Arabidopsis thaliana: one gene and its partner. The protein of the gene in region 1 purifies or fractionates together with the protein of each later gene. This does not show direct contact. Each region holds a gene or a part of one and is shown on either strand. Other genes may lie near its edges.

Region 1 (3,932 bases):
GTCAAGTCTTAAGATGTGATGGAAGAAACATGACAGGATTCTACCTTTGCCTCTATGGCTCTATAGACTATGTCCATCACTGCTGCATAATGGCATATTTTTTACATATCCATTTTTCCAAGAAAAGAGTCATAAACTTATGCATGATAAATACAGTTGACATGATTTCCATGAAATCTAACCCAGCCCAACAAGGCCCATAGGTAGAACCCATCCAAAATCCAGCTTATGAGTGAGTTACATGTGACATTTAGTCACTCCCAAGTCCTAACGCCGATGTGAGCTGTGTAAAGAATATCAATACTTTCACTCACAGGTCAGACACTGAAATTTTGCTTCAACTTGAGTCATCCAAGATGATATTTATAGAATCAAGCCCATCTTTATGGTTGGATATCCCAATCTCCATGACCACTTTGATCATTAAATATCTTCCAATAATTATACGAACTAGCGGACTAGTCAAATATGTTAATCCTAAAAAAAACATTTGAAAAGTCACATTTTCCACCTGTTAAGCCATGAATTCTATAAATTCTATATGAGTTACCACAATGTTTCTCTGAACAAATTACCGTGATGAAAAAAAAAGAATGAAAGCTGATAACAAATTTTGGTCAAGTTGACAATGTTTCTATCGTTGCTTGGAAAAATAATACGAGATAATGTTTTGTGTCTATCTTCTTCACATGCAATCTTAAATGAAATTAGTATATTGTTACAAACGTCAGAGAAACAGGAAAATGACGGGAGACCTTGTTAAACGAGAGAAACAAAACGTCAGCATGTTAGTTGAGCTCTGTCACCATATATTTATGCATATCTTTTGGAACTCTTCGTATATATCACAAGCATCAATAATATTTTTTTCTATCTTAACCCATTTTTATTTATATTAAAACCGTGTAAGGAAATCGCCAGAAATTGCAGACCTGTTTCGTCCTTAATTGCGGATCTCATCAATAGGTTAAGTAGTGACAACTTGTTGCGAGGATAATAGTAGTGATGGTTTTCGAAGATGAGTTATCCCAAAAAAAGAAAACAATTGACGTGGTGATAATAAGTGATCAATAATGTATGTAAACATATGAATGGTGAGAAACGTAAATGTTTATTTTCCTAGTAATAGATAAGATACTTCTAGTTTAGAGTGGTCCACTACTGTCTCTTTAACAAAGGCATGATGAAAAAAAAGTTCCTACTTGCAATTTCATGTTTGTTTAATTTTAGTATGACTCAAAAATTGAATTATTGACCAATAATCTATTTGATGGTTCGTTTTACTTTTATTATTTTTTGTTGAAAGAACAAATTTGAGAGAAAAAAGCTTAGTTAAAAGTTACTTTTGACTGAGCGTTCGATGCTTTTTCATCTAAACCACTTGGAACTCATCAAATAGTATATTTTTGCTTATATATACGTTTTCATATATTGCCAAACAAAATTATATTGTTACGATGATATTGTAAGAGCATTATAAGGATTAAGTTGAGTTAATATGTGTTTAGCTATGTTTGGTTTAATGGAAAATCATGTGCAACTAGCAAGAATAATATCACACATCACTGTTTTTGACTAATGGACAAATTGGATGTGACACTTAATAGAATAATTCTTTCTTGGTAGTTGCTATGATAACTATATTTGTCTTAACGTGAGAAAAGAAGCGATTGGATTGATGAGGGGAAATAAGTTGGATATGATCTCTGAATTCAACAAACACACATCTTTTACAATGAGCAGATGACTAAACTTTAATACACTAATATGGAAAGTTCGAAGGAAAATTACCTTGGATGATGATGATATTCGAGTCCAGCAAACACGCTTTGCTCAAAATTGTTAATCCAAAAGAACAAAAGACATCATATCTCCCAATATTTAATCATGACTAAACAATAGTAATAAAGCTACATAAATGTATAATTTATGATTCAGTTAAATAAAGTTTTATGTATTTTATCAAAGAGAGTCCAAAAGTCATTTTATATTTACTTGTCGAATATTTATTGTCACATATACATATGAAAACGACCCAGCAGCTTCCAAAAATTTATGACGTTATATATTAAAATTTAATACGTTATTAGATGACGTGGCAGTTTATCATTGGCTAACCAGAAAAAGCTGCAAGAAAGGAAATGTGTTACTATAAACTTGGCGCCTGTCTTGTAGCCGTTGCTTTCCTCTCCGGCCTTTTCTCTCTCCTCTCTTCGACCGTCGTCGCCGGAGACCCTTTTCAAGCGGCCAAACAAAGATGCAAGCTTTTTTCTTTAATACTACTGTAGCACTATCGCATCCGATGCTGTTTTAGATTTTGGGTACTCTGCTTCTCTTTCTCTTCATCTTCCTCTGTTCGTCGTCAGGTGATCCTTAAATCTCTGAGTCTCTTTTCACTGTTTTTTATTTTGTTAGATTCTGGTTATTATTTGATTGTGCGTTTCACTTATCCGATTCCTAAGGTTTTAAATTTGTTTCCACTTGACTTGACTTTTGAGTGTGCTCCTCCGTTTTCTAGGTCGTGTAACCCAATTTCGTTTTTTTTTTTTTTATTGGAGATTGTTTTAAGGCTTTCGAAAGTTTAATCCTCTCTGTTTCTAGGACCAGTAATTTAGCTATGGATTGTCTTGTCGAATTGGGTAGTTAAAATATCTGTTTTTTGCTTTTACATCGTCGGCTACTTTACTGGTTTTTGGGGGACTTCGTTGGATCTTTCACCTTTCTTTATAGAAAGAAAACAGCTTTTCGCGTTTATTGCGCGTACAGTGATGTTTGCTTTTCTGTGGATGAATCCGAAATTCGCTTCTCTGTGAAAGTAAATCTTACTGTTCTGGATATTATCTTGGATCCTAGTCTCTCTCTATCGCTTATGTTTGAGTTCACAAGTCTCTCAAGGTTTTAACAAGTATTTTAATTTGGTAGCTGAGTTTGATTGTCGGAAAATATGGCTCAAAGAAGGGAACCTGATCCGCCTCCACCGCAGAGGCGGATTCTGCGGACTCAGACTGTTGGTAGTCTCGGAGAGGCTATGCTTGATAGTGAAGTTGTTCCCTCTTCTTTAGTTGAGATTGCTCCGATTCTACGTGTGGCTAATGAAGTTGAAGCTAGTAATCCACGAGTTGCTTACCTATGTGAGTTGTAACAATTTCATTAACTTGATTGTGAATCATAAAATAACTTCTTTTCTCAGCTTAAATTAGCTTTGAATAACAAAATTACCAGGTCGTTTCTACGCATTTGAGAAGGCGCATAGGCTTGATCCAACTTCAAGTGGTCGTGGTGTTCGCCAGTTTAAGACCGCGCTTCTTCAACGATTAGAAAGGGTAAATATGAATGTATACACTTTATTGATTTGACTAACATGTTGTGTTTAAGTGTTGAACTCATGCCGTTTACGTTTCTGATTACTTCTTCAGGAGAATGAAACAACTTTGGCAGGAAGGCAAAAGAGTGATGCACGTGAAATGCAGAGTTTCTATCAACACTACTACAAGAAATACATCCAAGCTTTGCTGAATGCTGCGGATAAAGCTGACCGGTTTGTGTTTCACTAAATGTTTTCCTTCAAATGTGCTGTTTTTTTTCTTGCAACTTGACCTCTTACTGTGTTTTCCACTCATTTACAATATTTTACCTTTAGTGCTCAACTTACAAAGGCCTATCAAACTGCTGCCGTTCTCTTTGAAGTCTTGAAGGCTGTTAATCAAACAGAAGATGTGGAAGTGGCTGATGAGGTGAACCTCATAGTAGATATTGATCTTATAGTCTCATTCTTGTGCGAGTCGTTACAAATGCTTTGGCCAAACATCTTGAAACTCTCATGATCTAGTTAACCAAAATTGTTTCTGATCATCCTCTCTTTTGCTGTAGATTTTGGAAACGCACAATAAGGTGGAAGAGAAGACCCAGATTTACGTGCCTTACAATATACT
Region 2 (3,932 bases), about 27 Mb from region 1:
CAGAGTTGAGTTGTCCAGGGAATCTTAAAGAGCAAGTCACACCACTCATAGTTGCGGAGATCAAGTGGTTCAAGTCTCCAACTGCAAAATGTATATATATATATGAACTCTTAGAATTTAGGAACCAAGAAAACAAAGTAACAAACATTAAGGTTTTGATGGTACTTACAGCTAGGAGTGCTGAGTTTGAGAGTGCGGAAACAGATATCGTAAAGAGCTTCGTTGTCGAGGACCATGCATTCATCAGCATTCTCTACAAGTTGGTGGACTGAGAGAGTTGCATTGTACGGCTCAACGACTGTGTCTGAGACCTTTGGAGATGGGAAAACAGAGAATGTGAGCATCATTCTGTCTGGGTATTCCTCACGGATCTTTGATATCAAGAGAGTTCCCATTCCTGAACCCGTGCCTCCTCCAAGAGAGTGACATACTTGAAACCCTGTAATACAGAAATGTTAAGAACAAGTGTGAAACAATGTACTACAAAACTAAAGAAGTCCCTTATACCTAAACCAGATCCAAAAAGTATTGAGATGTTATTTAACAATTGCTGAAACCAATCATGACCCACTTGCTTATTCAATTATATCCCCACAAAGTGATATGTTTCACCTCGAAAGTGTCAACACAAGAGTATTCCCTAAAGTTCTTATTATAAAATTCGATATGGTTTTAAGGTTTCACGTGATATTGTTGATCCACAGTCACAAATCTGGAACAAAACATTAGGGGACACTAATACACTACCGCCAAATTAGGATATTGTCCTTAGTTTCAATGATGTTAACTTTTTACTATAAAGAATAGACAAAATCTAAATCCTAGCCAATCATTAAGTGTTAACAGCTCACTCTTAAACAGTAATCAACAGGAGAGAAACACCATAAAAACGCAAATCAAACACAAGAACATCGACGGATCATGTTCATGTAATTCATAAACTGTAATTGGAACCATGACCATGAAGAGATCAATGAAGAGAAACGTTAATCAAATATCAAAACACGATATGTGAGAGATTCACTAGTGCAATGCGAAGATGATCAAAAATCAAACTGAAATCGAAATCATCGGTTACTAAATATGCAACTACATTAACACTCACGAGACGAGATTTAAATGATCGAAACCATCGGATAATTGCAGTTTTGATTCACAAATCAATCAGATAATATGATCAAAGCACCAGCAGATTCATAAATCAAAAGGGAGAAATCGATTCATATATATACCTTGAAGGCAATCACAGTTCTCAGCTTCCTTACGAACAACATCGAGAACAGCATCAATAAGTTCAGCACCTTCAGTATAATGACCTTTCGCCCAATTATTTCCGGCACCGGATTGACCAAAGACGAAGTTATCAGGACGGAAAATCTGACCGTAGGGACCAGATCTGATACTATCCATAGTACCAGGCTCGAGATCCATGAGAACAGCACGAGGAACGTAACGACCACCAGAAGCTTCATTGTAATAAACATTGATACGTTCGAGCTGAAGATCGGCGGAATCACCGTTGTAACGTCCGGTGGGATCAACGCCGTGTTCGTCGCAGATAACTTCCCAGAATTTGGAACCGATTTGGTTACCGCATTGGCCGCCTTGGACGTGGAGGATTTCTCTCATGATGATGATGATCGATGAAGATTTTGGGATCTGGAGATGGTGAAGGAGAAGAAGGAGGAGAATAAGAAGGGAGAGGGAGAGAGAGAGGCGGGAGAGTTTTTTTTGGGAAGTAGTGACAAAATTTGACAGCGTGGGGAAGATGGGATCTTTGCCAGCTTTAACCGTTTGTTCGTTTTTTATCCTCTGTTTTTTTTACTATACTCTCTTTTTAAAAAAATGTTTTTTTTTACCATTTGACTTTTTTGCTGCAAACAAAAATGTCACATATTGTTGTTAGCACCGTCAAATTGAAATTTCTACAAAGTGAATGATTAATGTTATTTAAGATATTGTTGAATTATATCGTCCATTTAACTATTTAAGTGTGATAGCTTTCAAGTATCGATCATTCATTCTAGTTTCAAATCTTGATCCATTTGATGAATCTTTTACTATTCGAATTTCATCACGACTAGCTACAACCACCCTTGATTATATGTTATGACTTCTGAAAACATCGAGAAACAAAAATTCAATAATAGTGCGTAGAAGAAGACGATCAATGCGTAATGAATACAGTAACTTTGCATGTAGTATCTTAGTTGTTTTAGTGACATAGCACATGTAGCAAGACGTAATAAACGATCTGGAGATCTTGAATGCATATGTACCTATTTCTATGTAAACGATCAAACACAATAATTGAAATCGGTTGAATGATCAAAAGTATAGAAAAATATCATCACACTGATTGTGTTTGGATCTTTTATACAATATTGATGATAACATGAAAAACAAATAATGCCATAGCACATGTAGCTAGGTAGATGTAGACTGTAGTAAGATCTGAGATTTGATCCAATTATTTTTTCATTTTTATTTATGTCATGGTCGATCTACTGTTTATACGTAACGTCAAAATCAATAATTGAACTTGTAAAAGGATCCTATATTTTTTAAAATATATATTTGTTCTTGGTAAATTACTTGCTCCCAACTTATTGTGAAAACGTATGTCACTCAAGGGAACATAGAGGAAATGGGAGCACGTTAGCTGTTCGTATGTGGCTACAATATCTTCTTATAGAGCACGTTAGCACTCACCAAGTCAAAACAGACCTGGGCCGGTTTGCAGATAACAACTGTGTGAGCCCATTAAAATCTAAAACGGCATCGTCTAGTAGTCTTTAGTCGCAATCAAACCACAAACCCTAAGATCATCTCTTTAAATTACCATCCGTCTTCTGCAATTACACAAGTGATTCGAATCGCAATCAAACCACAAACCCTAAGATCAACACAGATCCTAATACTCTCTGATCATTCCTTTAAACCGTTCTTTAGTTTTGCTAATTAAAATAGACTTTTCTAGGTTTTATTATTTCAGACAATTAATTATTATCGAACTTTGCCACAACGGATGACATTTCCCGGTATCGGATTTTCATCTCTAACCGGAATAGTCGAAGGATCTTCTTCTCCTTCACCTTTAACTCTCATATAAAGCTCTTGACCAAGATACCATTGCTCTGCTTTCTGTGATCTCACGTTCCACATTCCTTGATTATCCATAGCTATCAATATTGCTGTCCACGAATATGGATAAACCTAAACACACACAGAATCAATTAACCAAAACTAATCACTGGTTTAATACTTTAAATTACGAGATTAGATATGGCTTAACCTGAACTGTTGACCGTGAAACAGCATCTACTAAGTTATATCCAGCTTTTTTGCTTTCAGACCAAGCTCCAAATCCATATCTAACATTAAACTCAAATAAAATTAGTACACCTAATTTAATCATCATACACATAATTATGATTTAAATATTGTAATTTTTACCCGACAACGAAGAAATTGTAACCATCGATGTGATAACTCTCCAATCCAAATAGAGGGTTCTGGAACACGATGTGGATGAAATCTTTGTAATGAATATCGACCACTGAAGTTCCAAGAGTCGGTGTTTTGTTGGATGGATAAACCGGGAACATGCCAGGGATTATCGTGTCATTTAGCTGAAAATGATCAACGAGCTTTAACGGAGTCTCGGGGTAGACAAACGAAACGCCGTTAATCGTATACCGTAGTTTGCCCGACGATAACATAACGTCGTTATGTAATATTATCGTTCTGGTTACGTTTATTCGTCCATAGTGGTACGAACCTTGAGGGTTCGATCTTGCTGCTCCAACGTTCAGGTCCATTCTGTGTCGTACACTTAACGTTTATTAGTCAAGAACAAATACTAAACGAAATATTTCATATAAAAGTTTTTATTCTTTGGTATAAAAAAAGAGTATTTCTTTACCTAATGG

What was found.
Region 2: the proteins of CALS1 (region 1) and TUB1 purify together in Arabidopsis thaliana (co-purification; one study listed by BioGRID). This does not show direct contact.

The regions. Positions count from the first base shown.
Region 1 is NC_003070.9:1,657,690-1,661,621, reverse strand, and holds the start of CALS1 (callose synthase 1), read left to right. Parts: upstream 1-2,010; 5' UTR 2,011-2,366; intron 2,367-2,542; exon of another isoform or gene 2,543-2,922; 5' UTR 2,923-2,944; coding exon 2,945-3,131; intron 3,132-3,222; coding exon 3,223-3,323; intron 3,324-3,416; coding exon 3,417-3,538; intron 3,539-3,640; coding exon 3,641-3,734; intron 3,735-3,870; coding exon 3,871-3,932.
Region 2 is NC_003070.9:28,451,974-28,455,905, forward strand, and holds the start of TUB1 (tubulin beta-1 chain), read right to left. Parts: upstream 1,848-3,932; 5' UTR 1,630-1,847; coding exon 1,233-1,629; intron 440-1,232; coding exon 170-439; intron 82-169; coding exon 1-81. Other genes in the region: sks18 (SKU5 similar 18), read right to left, coding at 3,007-3,216, 3,296-3,374, 3,457-3,822, 3,926-3,932.